Linked DNA regions of Oryctolagus cuniculus. The protein of the gene in region 1 interacts with the protein of each later gene in a biochemical or structural test. Links are inferred from orthologs where the notes say so. Each region holds a gene or a part of one and is shown in the gene's direction. Other genes may lie near its edges.

Region 1 (3,518 bases):
TCCTTCCCTTTGTGCATTATATCTGATCTGTATTGTGGAATGGAAGAACAGAATGACGTACTTTTCTCTGGACTGCAGAATCAAAACTTTTGAGGATGATCTTCCATTTTTTCCCCCTCATTCTTGAGGTGGGCGCTGATAACCTAGTGGATAATGGTTTGGGAGAAGACTTAGTTAATAGGATGGTAGCAGGTGTTTCTCCTTGGCCCCCTTCTTCTGTCCCCAAAATAAACCTCCAGAGCAGATACTATTCACCGTTAGAAAGAGTTAATGTCAGTGCAGATGATCCCATGGCATTTGAACTACACAAGGGTACTTAAAAAATGTTCCTGGAAAATGAAATTAAAAGATAAGTATATATTGGCACACGTTTTTTGAAATCTGTGTAGTTTTTTTCTCAACACATTTCCATGAGCATTTTTTTTTTTTTAAAGATTTATTTATTTGAAAGAGTTGCGCAGAGAGAAACGGAGAGTCAGAGAGAGGTCTACCATCTGCTGGTTCACTCTGCAATTGGCTGCAATGGCCGGAGCTGTGCTGATCTGAAGCCAGGAGACAGGAGCCTCCTCCAGGTCTCTCACGTGGATGCAGGGGCCCAAGGACTTTTGCCATCTTCTACTGCTTTCCCACGCCATAGCAGAGAGCTGGATAGAAGAAGAGCAGCCAGGACTCAAACCAGTGCCCATATGGGATGCTGGCATTGCAGGCGGCGGCTTCACCTGCTAAGCCACAGCACTGCTGGCCCCTCCATGAGCATTTTGAAGATTCATTGTATACAAGGATTTCAACATCTTTTGCACTGAAATAATGTTACCTTTTAATACATTTTCCATGAAATTTTTGTAGTGCCCTGCTGTAACTCTCCCCATATGTAGCTGTTCACAGCTGTCTCGGAATCAGAAAGAAACAGATAGAGGAATATCAGAGAGGGGGTGGAGTGGCAGTCACAACAGCTCTGATTGGATGTAGGCTGCTCACACAGCGTCTCCTGGTTGCTTATGGCTCATTTTCTGTTTCAGCATTTCTTACTCCCATTAAAGACAATTCTTAGCACTGTTTTTTAAAGGGGGGGTGGTGTCTAATTATGTTCTAGAACATTTTGAAAATGGTGTATAACTTACAACTGCTAATAATCAAAATGCACATTTAGTGTCATTTATGTTTTGTTTTTAATTCTATTTTTTATTTTTGCTCACAATAAATTTTGCATGAAGCTTAAAGTATTTCTGGCTTGTAAAAGTTACTGATATAGTAAGTAAAAAGTTGTAATTTTTCTCCTGCCTCCTTTTACTTTTTATTTATTTTTTATTGCAGAAATGAGCCGTCAGACTGCTACTGCATTACCGACTGGTACCTCGAAGTGCCCGCCGTCGCAGAGGGTGCCTGCCCTGACGGGCACGACCGCGTCCAACAATGACTTGGCGAGTCTTTTTGAGTGTCCGGTCTGCTTTGACTATGTGTTGCCACCCATTCTTCAGTGTCAGAGTGGCCATCTCGTTTGTAGCAACTGTCGCCCAAAGCTCACATGTTGTCCAACTTGCCGGGGCCCACTGGGATCCATTCGCAACTTGGCTATGGAGAAGGTGGCCAATTCAGTACTTTTCCCTTGTAAATATGCCTCGTCTGGATGTGAAATAACTCTGCCACACACAGAGAAAGCAGACCACGAAGAGCTGTGTGAGTTTAGGCCGTACTCCTGTCCGTGCCCTGGTGCTTCCTGTAAATGGCAGGGCTCTCTGGACGCTGTAATGCCCCATCTGATGCATCAGCACAAGTCCATTACAACCCTTCAGGGAGAGGATATAGTTTTCCTTGCTACAGACATTAACCTTCCTGGTGCTGTTGACTGGGTGATGATGCAGTCCTGTTTCGGCTTTCACTTCATGTTAGTCTTGGAGAAACAGGAAAAATATGATGGTCACCAGCAGTTCTTTGCAATTGTACAGCTGATAGGAACACGCAAGCAAGCTGAAAATTTTGCTTATCGACTTGAGCTAAATGGGCACAGGCGACGATTGACTTGGGAGGCGACTCCTCGGTCTATTCATGAGGGAATTGCGACAGCCATCATGAACAGTGACTGCCTAGTCTTCGACACCAGCATCGCACAGCTCTTCGCAGAAAATGGCAACTTAGGCATCAATGTAACGATTTCCATGTGTTGAAATGGCAATCAAGAGTTTTCTGGCCAGTGTTTAAAACTGTTGCATTCAGTTTCACAGAGAGCAAGGCACCCGACTGCCTGCCAACCTGAAACTCTTTGGGCAGGTGGAAACTAGACACATGAAGGTAAATAAAAAGAAAGGCTGTTAAATACAGGAAACAGTTGCATGTAGTAACACTAATATATTTAAAAATAAGTCAACAGTAAACCACTGAAAAATATATATATATACACCCAAGATGGGCATCTTTTGTATTAAGAAAGGAAGCATTGTAAAATAATTCTGAATTTTGTGTTTGTTGTAGATTGATTGTATTGTTGAAAAATACTGGTTTTTGTTTTGTTGTTCTGTTTCTTCTGTTATTGCGTGTGTCTGTGTGTGTGTGTGTGTGTGTGTGTGTTTCCCTAACTGACAAGCCATCTGAGTGGTCTTGGACCACTGCTTTTTCCCCTTTGTGAGTCAATACATAGTGCTGCTGTGTTTCCTTGTGTGTGTATATTTGCTAATTTTTATTAATTCTAGTTTTTCATTAAATAAACTTTCTTTTCTGTAATTCAGGTTTTCCTCACTTTTTTGGGTACCTTTTAAAGTCAGTGTCTTCCTGCCCTGATAACTGTTTATGGTGAAGTTTGTGTTCGGGGTACGTTCTCGTTCCCCATTCGTCAGTTTAGCAGACACATTTCATCAGCTGCTTGGTGAAGACAGGCGTTCCCAGAGGAAAGGGAACATTGGGAAACCCGTCAGAAGCCACCCAAGCAGCCACGAGATGGTCTTCTCTCTCCTTTTCGCACTCACTACTTCGTCTCCATTTGAGTCCTATATACAAGTTAGGGAATGCATTCTGATTCATATAAATACTGAAAATCAGGCTTTTTTTTTTCTTTTCCAAATATTGTAGACAAATCACATGATCACATGTTCAAAATTTGTTCTTGTATTTATTGGTTTTGCAAAAAGAAGGCATCGTCACATACAGTGTTTGTAATTAAAGTAAATCATTTGTTTAAAAAAGACAGTTTGCAAAAAATATGTTTTTGGTCTTTTATAATTCTCATTAAAAGAATATCTGGCAAACGGAAAACTCTTAATGTGTCTGCTTTAGCTGTAAGATTGGTAAGGCCCGGGCGCGCTGCCGCCCTGCCCCGCTGCCGTCCTGCCCCGCCCCACCTCAGGCAGGCAGCGTGATGCAGCCGGCGCTCAGCCGCGTGGCCTCCAGACACAGCCATACTTTCTCACCCTCCCCTGCACGCTGCCTGCTTCTTGTGCCTCCGTAAGAACAGCCACCACTTAAAATACTCCCTTTCTCCCCTTTAGGGAACAAAAGTGCGTTTAGTATTTCATAGCTGATTGTTG
Region 2 (3,518 bases), on another chromosome or scaffold:
TTATTATTCATGCCTCATTAATATTTAGCACCCGCTGCCCCTGGAATGGCCAGATCGCCAGTTTAGCGCTGACTGCCACGGGATACCTGCTGACACTGCTCTAGGCTTCTGTTTTCCTCCGAGACGCTCAGGCCCCGCGTCCACCGCTGTGAAATGTGACCTGTCTCGGGGTATTCTGCGACCCATCCTTGCCACTTCTCCTTGCGGGTCACTTTGCAGGGTCTTCTCTTGAATGCCTCCTTGGGCACCCTCCTCAAAAGCATGTGTCAGAGCTGGGGAGTGTGCAGCAGCTGTCTGTGCGTGGGGAGCGCCCCAGATCCCCTGTGCCCCATGACCGTGTGACCTCGACTTGGTTTCTCATCTGGCTGTGCTAGACACAGGTTCTCGAGAATATTGGGTTTCTAGAGATGCCTCCAAGGGGGCCAGCATTCTGCATCCCAAGTGCTGTGGTCCCACCTGTGCCCGCCCCATGGAGTCCCCGCTGCTGGGGGCCGGCAGGCACAGACCACTCAATGCCAGAACTGACCGACAAGAGTTATTTCACAGAAATGTCTGTGCCCTCTCGTTGTCATTCCACAAAAGGCCCGCAAAATCAAAACCCTAAGTTCCTGTGCAAAGACGCAGTCTCCCCTGTGTCGGCCTGGTGCTGTTGCTGCAGCTGTCCCGGTGGTTGGCCTCCGGTGCAGGGCTCTGGCCAGCCCTCTGGGTGCACTGATCTGAAATTTCACTCCAGACCCCCTCCTGTAGACAGGGCTCTGACCGGCCTGTGGCCGAAAGCCTGCGTGAGCATTGGCTGGTGCTGGCGGCAGACTGGGCGAGCAGCAGGCCACTCCACATCGGCCCACCTGACTCTTGGACACGTGACCCTGCCAGTGGGCAGTTAGCTCTGAACTCGGCGTGTGGTGGCCCATCAGCCCCCTGTCTGCATGACCTACGCTCCCTCATTCCCACCCTCAGCCTTCTCTCGGCCGCTCCTGAGACACGGCAGGACCTCAGGAAGTAGTTGTGGGATGGGTTAAAACAGCCTCTGAAGGGGCCTGGCAGGACCTCTAGGAGCCATCCTACCTGCAGTGTCACCCGGCTGCTCAGGGCCCACCCACCAGCAGTGTCAGCAGCACCCCAGGCGCCTGTTAGAGTGCAAGCTGTGGAGCCCCCTGCTGGCAAGGAGCCCCGCGTCTTTCCACCTGGGGCCTCTTGCGTGTAGCCCGGGAAGAGCCCTCGTGTTTGGCCATGCTCGGCCCTCATGCCTTTCCCCGCTGACTACGTCTCATCCAAGAGACCAGACCGGGGGCTCCGAGGGGCCGTTGCAGCCACTGTTGCTCACCTTGGTTGCTCCTAGGCACAGTCTGCAGTACCTGCACAAGGGCAATACCTGCCGAGGGCACTAACAGGAGTCCCTCCAGCCGCCTCCCAGATGCTGGAGGCCACGTGGCCAGGGAGGGCCAGCATCAGCCCCCCCCCCCCCCGGCTGTCATCTCTCTCTGCTTCTCCTGCACCTGTCCCCTCTTTCTTAGCTTTATCCCCTCATTTGCAGCCTTGGCCACCCTCTAGACCAAGGGCTAGACAGCTACAACCCAGCTGCCCACGCAGAGTGAAGGCCAAGTCCTAGCTGAGTCTGGGGAAGCTGAGGCCAGGGTTGGCCTGGCCAGTGTGGGCGTCCTGGAGAGCCCTGACCTGTGACCTCCTCTTCCTCCCGCCACAGCAAACACCAGTCACCACGCGTCCTCCTACAAGCCCAAGTCCTCCAGCAACGTGACCTCCACCAGCGGTCACTCTTCAGGGAGCTCCTCTGGAGCCATCGCCTACCGACAGCAGCGGCCAGGCCCCCACTTCCAGCAGCAGCAACCCCTCAATCTCAGCCAGGTGAGTCCCTGCCTGATGGCCGGCGGCCCCCACGGCAGACCCTCACACCCCACAGAGAGCGGCACGGGGCGGAGGCTGCCCCGGCAGGGTCGCTCGTGGGGAAGCTGACAGCACTGGTGCGTGGGTCGCACAGTGCTGCCTCACCGTGGCAAAGCACTCGTGACTTGGTGCCGAGCTTAGACTAGGAGCCCACAGAAGGCTGCCTCCCCCAGCAGAGGCAAGACACCAACCAGGGAGAGCCCTGCTGTGCACCTCACTGCGGGGCGGGGCGGGGTGGGGGGGGGACACACTCCAGAGACCCACCCAACCTAGGGCAGGAGAGTCCTAGCCTCAGCCATGTGTCCCAGCAGCTTAGCTTCTCCAGGTAGGAGACAGTTGATGGAACTGCCCATGGCAGCGTTTCCGAGGGCGCAGGCTTCCTGCCCGGGGACCCCAGCCGGTGAGGGGCAGGCCTGCTTGCTCCACCCAGTGCAGGCTCATCTTCACTCGCTCCATATCCCAAGGCCAGCACCCCTGTCCCTCCTCCACTCCCGGCCTCCCCCGTGTACCCCCTCACGCCGCCCTCTCTGGGTGCCTCTGCTCCGCAGGCTCAGCAGCACGTCACCACGGACCGCGCCGGGAGCCACCGACGGCAGCAGGCCTACATCGCTCCCACCATGGCTCAGGCACCCTACTCCTTCCCGCACAACAGCCCCAGCCATGGCACTGTCCACCCCCACCTGGCCGCCGCCGCAGCTGCCGCCCACCTGCCCGCCCAGCCCCACCTCTACACCTACACAGCGCCTGCTGCCCTGGGCTCCACCGGCACCGTGGCCCACCTGGTGGCCTCCCAAGGCTCGGCGCGCCACACCGTGCAGCACACTGCCTACCCGGCCAGCATCGTGCACCAGGTCCCCGTGAGCATGGGCCCCCGGGTCCTGCCCTCTCCTACCATCCACCCCAGCCAGTATCCAGCCCAGTTCACCCACCAGACCTACATCAGCGCCTCTCCAGCCTCCACCGTCTACACTGGATACCCACTTAGCCCTGCCAAGGTCAACCAGTACCCTTACATATAAGCACTGGAGGGTGGGGGAGGAGACGGCGGAGAGGGCGGGAGGAGGGGTGGGGGAGGAGACGGGGCCAGAGAGGGCGGGGAGGAGGGTGGCCAGAGCTCCTGGGACCGAGGAGGGAGCTGGCTTTTTATGCTGAAGACACCGCACACAAACAATGCAAATGGGAGGGGGCGGGGACTGGGACGGACGCAAAGGAAACTTGAACCAGGAAGTGAGGAGGACTTAGAGCAGAGAAGAGAACATTTTAAAAAGGAAGGGATCAAGGAGGGGGAAATCTATGCTTTTTATTTTAAAAAAGAAAAAAGAAAAAAAAATGTTGGCAACAAAAAAACACAGCTCATGCACCCACTCTGCACCAAACTGGAAAGGAGAAGAGAGCCACAGGAAGATCCCAGAGGGGCCCAGTGTGGGGAGAACTTTTATCTATGAACTTTTCAAAGATTATTTTCATACGACGGCAAGTGGCATTGAAGAACTTGCTGTCAGGGACACCTGCTGTGCAAATCCAATAGATTTTTAATTAACTGAACATACGAATTAGGGATTTTTCCAGAACTCTAAGAGTCGACACCCCCTCCAGAATGAGGAGGCTGACATTTC
Region 3 (3,518 bases), on another chromosome or scaffold:
TGTGTCTTCTTAGCTTTTGTTTTATCCCTCTTTGGAGTGTTGATGAGCAGGGAAAAGGGAAACAGTCTGAAAGTTCTCAAAGGTATAAAAAGGAGGCTCACAGGCAACAGGGAACATACTAGCAAAGTCAGTCCTAAAGAAATCTTAGTACATATGTCTATTATTGCCGCCTGTATATGCTGTCATTTTATAATATACCTAAATTATGTATCATTACAGCCACAAAGCCTCATGAGTTGCAATTACATAACAAATACACTTTACTGTATAGTTTGGATGCATTAAAATAATAGATAAAAGTTTCTATCTAAAGGATTGCCTAGATTTTGTAAAATTCATGAAGGGCAGAGAAACTATGAGTTTGTAAAAAAACCAAAATCTGTTTTTTTCTTACTGGGAGATTTATAACAAGAAAATGTTCATTTCAAGCAAAACTTTCTGTTCATGTTCTTAAAAAAGGAAAAAATGACAACTTGAAATACATAATTCACCATTTTTAAAAGATCAACACTCCAGAAATGTTTAAAAACATAAATTTTCCAGTACAGCTTTTCACTGGCATTTAAATTGAACTTTGAATTGTAAATAGCTGTTACTCCTTCAGAGACATTAGTATGTTCAGTGGCACAACGTCACTAGGCAAACCTGCAGAATTCTGGGCAAAAGGCAGACTGAGAACAACACCTGCTGTGGGTTCGTTGATTTTAGACTGTGTGGCTGCTTCACCCTTCCCTACAGTGCCTGGATGAGAGTCCTTACTCACCACCCTTGCTTTCTTGACCCAAACACTCTACTTGAAAACAAATTGCCTTGTGCCACTGTTTAATTATTGACGCCCCAAACTAGTGGTGTAAGATCTGAAAAGGATCACGCGAGTAGCATTTGGAGATGTTTCTCAGAGAGAGGCTCACCAGGAGGATATAAGGATGGTGAAACATGAAAATATGGCTTTATTCTTAATGGAGTGCCTAATGAATGAATCCCTCAAAACCCCAAATTCCTGAATGTTGGGGGAAAAAGCAGAACAGGAATGAGTTTGTGGGAGCAGAAGGAAAGAGGGCAGAGATTCTGTAGACAAATAAGAGATGCAGGACCAAAGGCTTCATGGCATGGATGGATGTTATAGCAGGTTGGATGGAAATGGATGGTTTTATTTCTGTATTGAATTATTATTTTTATTTATTTATTTATTTGAGAGGTAGAGTTACAAACAGTGAGAGGAAGAGACAGAGAGAAAGGTCTTCCCTCCGTTGGTTCACTCTCCAACTGGCCGCAATGGCCGGAGCTGCACTGCTTCTTCTTGGTCTCCCATGCAGGTGCAGGGGCCCAAGCACTTGGGCCATCCTCCACTGCTCTCCCAGGACATAGCAGAGAGCTGGATTGGAAGAGAAGCAGCGGGGACTAGAACTGGTGCCCATATGGGATGCCGGTGCCGCAGGCAGAGGATTAACCCACTGCACCATGTGCTGCGGCCCCCTGTATTGAATTATTAACAGCATAGAATCTTTTATATTTGGTTGCATACAACTTTTTAGTTAATTGAAATTAAAATTTTATTTGGGCTTTCTTTATATAATTATATTGAAATAATATAGAAAACTTGATTCCACAAGCAGGTACATTTCTAGGATGTCTTTGGGAGTTTTTGATAAGAAATTAAATCTCTAGATTATAAATTTACATTATTTACACCATCTTCTCTAAATTTTTAATTGGTTTTAGAAATATACTGAATTATTATATCATATTTTGTTTTATGGAAGTGAATTATATGTTCAATAAGCCTCTTAATTTTCATATTAACTTAAAATCTAGATGCTTTGTTCCCATTAAAATTACTGACAATCTTATAATTAAGAACCTTTCTGTTTCACAAACTGAAATTTTATAAAAGGTTCAGAATTCCTTCTTAACCATTCCTCTGCCATTGTGCATTTTGATAGTAACATGTATGAGCACAAAAACAGTTGGAGTCTCCCTTATCTAAAATAGTTAGGTTTGGAAGTGTTTTGGATCTTGGATTTCTTTTGTTTCGGTGGGGGGAATTATGGTATATTTGCATATACCAAATAAGATATTTTGGGAATGAGACCCAAGTCTATACACATGATTTGAGTATCACATATACCGTATATGACTGGCCTGGAGGCTATTTTATACAGTGTTTTAAATAATTTTGTACATGAAACAAAGTCTCATGGTGTGGAATTTTCCCCTTGTGCCATCATGTTAGCACTCCAAATGTTTCAGATTTTGGAGAATTTTGAATTTTCAGATTAGGGATGCTCAACCTGTAGGTAGAATGTGTCATGTTGCTCAGCAATCTGCTGAAAATGAACTTGCTGATTGAGATAGAAGAATCGGCCCTGAAATTGAAATAAAGAAATAAATTTCTTGCTGAGTCTGATTCCACTATATCTGACTTTGGAAGTGCTACTTTCTGCAACTTTCCTAAAAATAAGTCAAACCCAAGCTGCTTGTGGGCCTACACTTGTGATCATTAAAGAGGAGGCACCTTCTAAAGTCTGTGTGATTATAACAAGATGTCAGTGAAGATGCAGATTTTGAGTAATCCCTCTCACTTAGAAATCTTGGTAGCTACTATTTCCTGTGATCCTTCAATTGCCTAAAGCCTGTGTAAATACAGGCTGAACTGGGGCTTACACTATGGCTCACTTGGTTAATACTCCGCCTGTGGCGCTGGCATCCCAGATGGGTGCCGGTTTCTAGTCCTGGTTGCTCCTCTTCCAGTCCAGCTCTCTGCTGTGGCCCGGGAGGGCAGTGGAGGATGACCCAGGTGCTTGGGCCTCTGCACCCACATGGGAGACCAGGAAGAAGCACCTGGCTCCTAACTTTGAATCGGTGCAGCAGCCATTTAGGGGGTGAACCAACAGAAGGAAGACCTTTCTCTCTGTCTCTCTCCTTCACTGTCTAACTCTATCTGTCAAATAAAAAAAAAATCTTAAAAAAAAAAAAGAAAAAAATACAGGCTGAATGGAAGTTGACTGTTAGTGGAAGTAGAATTTTATAAAGTTGCTGCTGTCTTTAATCTGCTATTGCTTTTCATTCACCCCAGTGGCTGAGAAGACCAAAGAGCAAGTGACAAATGTTGGAGAGGCAGTGGTGACAGGTGTGACAGCAGTCGCCCAGAAGACAGTGGAAGGAGCGGGGAGCATTGCAGCCGCCACCGGCTTCGTCAAAAAAGACCAGCAAGGCAAGGTATGTTGTGTGAGTTTGATGTTATATTTAAACTATCGCAAGATCATGGCTCATTCTCAAAGGAGGCGAAACTCAGAAACAAGATGACTGCCGTGGGGGGAGTACTGCCTGATTCTCCTCAGAAAAAAGTACTTCTTTCATATGGAGCTTGTATTTAGGGTATGAACACCGAGAAATGCCATGCAAATTGTACAGTCATCACGACTGTTTCAGTTTCTGGAAGAGCACTAATGAAATGAGCGATGTGGTAAATGCCAAAAGGAACAATGACATTTCACAAAGAATGGATGCTTTATGTT
Region 4 (3,518 bases), on another chromosome or scaffold:
CTCTGCTGTGGCCTGGGGAAGCAGTAGAAAATGCCCCAAGTCCTTGGGCCCCTGCACCTTCATAGGAGTCCTGGAAGAAGCCCTTGGCTCCTGGCTTTGGATCGGCACAGCTCCAGCCGTTGCGGCCATCTGGGGAGTGAACCAGCGGATGGAAGACCTCTCTCTCTCTCTCTCTCTCTCTGCCTGTCCTCTCTCTGTGTAACTCTGACTTTCAAATAAATAAATAAATCTTTAAAAAAAAAAAAAAAAGATTGAAAGTGCCATGCTAAGTGAGATTGAAACTCGCATTCTAGCATTTGTTGATTGCTCTGTGCCAGGCACTGTGTGAATCAGAGTCGACAGGAGGGAAGAGGAGTGTGACCTGCCACCATCCACATGCCTGCTACCTTCCGAAGCATTCCCGTACACGTTGCTTACTGGAGGGAACGAGCCCTCACTGCACAGGTCACAGTAGCCCCTTTCTAAACTCTGAAAGGCCTTGGTGGTGGCCCCCATAGTGCAGACCCTCTGGAACCCCAGGCCAAAGTTAGTCCCTCTGGGAGAAAGAACTCATTGAGAATTACATAGCATTCAGGTCCACAGCCGACGACCCCAGCTTGATTCCAGAACGTCTCTGAATCCCAAGCACACATCCTAGCAGGAAGGAGAGTGACCAGCCGCCTAAATTTAGGGGACTTTAATAAGGTGCACTTTCAACCCAAGAGTCACTCGTGGCCTGGGCCTGTTGCAGAAGTTGTAGACCTGAGTACATACATACCCTTGGTGTGTTCTCTTCTTTCTGTGAGCCCCCATAGCAAAGAACACACAAGTACACGTGTGTTGGTGAACATGTCCCACCTGCTGCTGCACCACAGAGGGGAGAGGGACCAGAGGGCCCACTGGAGGCCATGCTCTGAAATCCAGCCCGGTGGTGGGGAATGGAGCAAAGGAAGTAGCAGGGAGTAGAAGCCCATAAAGTAGGGTCCTGGGTCAGAGGAGTGGCCCAGAGAGGCAGTGCTGTCATCGTGGCTGTGGGGGCTGCGTCTGCCGGCCCGGAGGAGGTGCCGGGGCTGGGGGCCCTCTCCTGTGACACCAACTGGGAGAGTGGTGATTCTTTCTCTTCCACGTGTGTCTGACTGTCTCACTTCCCTCTCCATCTCAAGCAAACAACACTTGATCTTTATCTAAACTTTGCAGAGAAAGAAGCAGCACACAATGCTGCCTGCCCCATCCCCCCTTCCCCAGTGTGTTCTCCTGGTGTTTCCGGCTTTCCCAGCAGTGCAGGGCAGCATTAAATCTTAAAGAGGATGCCTTTAGTGCATTGTGTTGCTGAGCCATGCGCCGAAACGAAATGAAACAAAAACCCCTGCGTGGTGGCTGACCAGGGTGCCTAGACAAGGATGGCTGTGTGGATGAGTGTGCAACCTCTCTTTTCTCCCTAAATCAGTGTGGATTAATACAGAGAATCCTACCTCTACTCCTGTTTTCCAAAGTGGTAGCACATGATGAAATCCTGCCCGAAATATAGATCCTAAATGTATGTCTGCTTTTACCGTTATTACTACTACTAATTAAATTTTTTAAGATTTATTTATTTTGCTGGCACTGCAGCTCAATAGGCTAATCCTCTGCCTGTGGCTCCAGCACACCGGATTCTATTCCTGGTCAGGGCGCCGGATTCTGTCCCGGTTGCCCCTCTTCCAGGCCAGCTCTCTGCTGTGGCCAGGGAGTGCAGTGGAGGATGGCCCAAGTGCTTGGGCCGTGTACCCCATGGGAGACCAGGATAAGCACCTGGCTCCTGGCTTCGGATCAGCGTGGTGCGCCGGCCGCAGCGCGCCAGCTGCAGTGGCCATTGGAGGGTGAACCAATGGTAAAGGAAGACCTTTCTCTCTGTCTCTCTCTCTCACTGTCCACTCTGCCTGTCAAAGAAAAAAAAATTTATTTTAATTGAAAGTCAGGGTTACACAGAAAGAGGAGAGGCAGAGAGGCAGGAGTGGGGGGAGGTCTTCCATTAAATGGTTCACTCCCCAATTGGCCGCAGTGGCCGGAGCTGTGCTGATCCATAGCCAGGAGCCAGGAGTCTCCTCCCGGTCTCCCACGTGGGTGCAGGGGCCCAAGGACTTGGGCCATCTTCTACTGCTTTCCCAGGCCATAGCAGAGAGCTGGATCAAAAGTGGAGCAGCCAGGTCTTGAACCAGCGCCCATATGGGATGCCGTCACTTCAGGCTAGGGCGTTAATCCGCTGCGCCACAGCGCCAGCCCCACTACTAATTAAATTTTAAAGATTAATTTGTTTGAAAAGCAGAACGATAGAGAAATCTTCCATCTGCTGTTTGCTCCCCAAATGCCCGCAACTGCCAAGGCTGGACCAAAGCTGCCATTCAAGAACTCCATCCAGGTCACCTGTGTGAGCCACAGGGACTCCCATACTTGAACCATTATCTACTGTCCCTCAGGCCTCCCAGCAGGACCCTGGATCAGAAGCAGAGAGGCTGGGGGCGGAACCAGGCATCCAATATGGGGTGCAGGCATCCTGAGCAGCGGCTGAAGCTGCCGTGCCACACGTGCCCACTCCTACTTTGAGTCACCAATGTCAGAACTTTCTCCTGCCTTTAGCAGTCATCCAGTGCCAAGGATGAATTGTTGGAAGTATGTGCTCTCAAAGCCAGGCCCCTACACAGGGGCTGAACTTGAACCTCCCTTGAGTAGAGGTTCTGCATGCATGGTCAAGGTGTGTTTGGCATTCCAGTTTAATGGTGTCCCCTTTTAACCTTTCCATGAACAGTTTCCGGCTCTGGCTGGAATTGTGGCGTCTCAACTCTTATTACCAACACACAGAAGCCCACGGGGATCGCCGATGTATATAGCAAGTTCCGCCCGGTGAAACGGGTTTCCCCACTGAAACACCAGCCGGAGACCCTGGACAGCAATGAAAGCGATGATCAAAAGAACCAGAAGGGGGACCTCCAGAAAGGGGGTGATTCTGATGCAGGCCCCCAGCCTGAGGAGCTGGGCCCCGAAGAGGGAGTCGGGGGCCTGCCTGGGAAGGGCTCGGAGCCCAGCCCGGCGCTGGGCGAGCTGGAGCACTATGACCTCGACATGGATGAGATCCTGGATGTGCCTTACATCAAGTCCAACCAACAGCTTGCCTGTTTCAGCAAGGTGGCTTCAGACAAAAGGATTTTGGGTTTATGCACGACCATCAACGGCCTCGCCACCGGCAAAGCCTGCTGTGCAGGAGGTGCCGAGAACCCACCACCCACCACAACGCCCTTCTGTGTCCTGTCTCCCGTGAAAAGCCCTCACCTGAGAAAAGCATCCACCGCCATCCGCGATCAGCACAAGCTGGGCCCGGAAGAATCCGAGAGCGCGCCCGCTCTGGTTTCTTGTGTCTCCGCGTATGAGCCTGAGACCCAGAGCAGAGACTTCCCAAACAAGGCCTTCGCAGAACCACATGGCGGAAAGGTCGAGAAGGCACTGCCCGACTGCCAGCTCCGGGCCTTCCGCCTGCCGTGCTCGGCCGCAGAAGCCACGCTGGA

What was found.
Region 2: of the proteins of SIAH1 (region 1) and HIPK2, one has a biochemical effect on the other in vitro, tested with the Homo sapiens proteins (4 studies listed by BioGRID, with this or other methods). The link is inferred for Oryctolagus cuniculus from reciprocal best matches to the Homo sapiens genes SIAH1 and HIPK2.
Region 3: the proteins of SIAH1 (region 1) and SNCA form a complex in vitro, tested with the Homo sapiens proteins (3 studies listed by BioGRID, with this or other methods). The link is inferred for Oryctolagus cuniculus from reciprocal best matches to the Homo sapiens genes SIAH1 and SNCA.
Region 4: the proteins of SIAH1 (region 1) and SNCAIP form a complex in vitro, tested with the Homo sapiens proteins (2 studies listed by BioGRID, with this or other methods). The link is inferred for Oryctolagus cuniculus from reciprocal best matches to the Homo sapiens genes SIAH1 and SNCAIP.

The regions. Positions count from the first base shown.
Region 1 is NC_091449.1:32,098,052-32,101,569, reverse strand, and holds the end of SIAH1 (E3 ubiquitin-protein ligase SIAH1), read left to right. Parts: intron 1-1,314; coding exon 1,315-2,165; 3' UTR 2,166-3,246; downstream 3,247-3,518. UniProt on the Homo sapiens protein: E3 ubiquitin-protein ligase that mediates ubiquitination and subsequent proteasomal degradation of target proteins.
Region 2 is NC_091434.1:184,453,252-184,456,769, forward strand, and holds part of HIPK2 (homeodomain-interacting protein kinase 2), read left to right. Parts: intron 1-1,702; coding exon 1,703-1,863; intron 1,864-2,450; coding exon 2,451-2,921; 3' UTR 2,922-3,518.
Region 3 is NC_091439.1:75,768,310-75,771,827, forward strand, and holds part of SNCA (alpha-synuclein), read left to right. Parts: intron 1-3,076; coding exon 3,077-3,219; intron 3,220-3,518. UniProt on the Homo sapiens protein: Neuronal protein that plays several roles in synaptic activity such as regulation of synaptic vesicle trafficking and subsequent neurotransmitter release.
Region 4 is NC_091437.1:12,130,575-12,134,092, forward strand, and holds part of SNCAIP (synphilin-1), read left to right. Parts: intron 1-2,764; coding exon 2,765-3,518. UniProt on the Homo sapiens protein: Isoform 2 inhibits the ubiquitin ligase activity of SIAH1 and inhibits proteasomal degradation of target proteins. Isoform 2 inhibits autoubiquitination and proteasomal degradation of SIAH1, and thereby increases cellular levels of SIAH.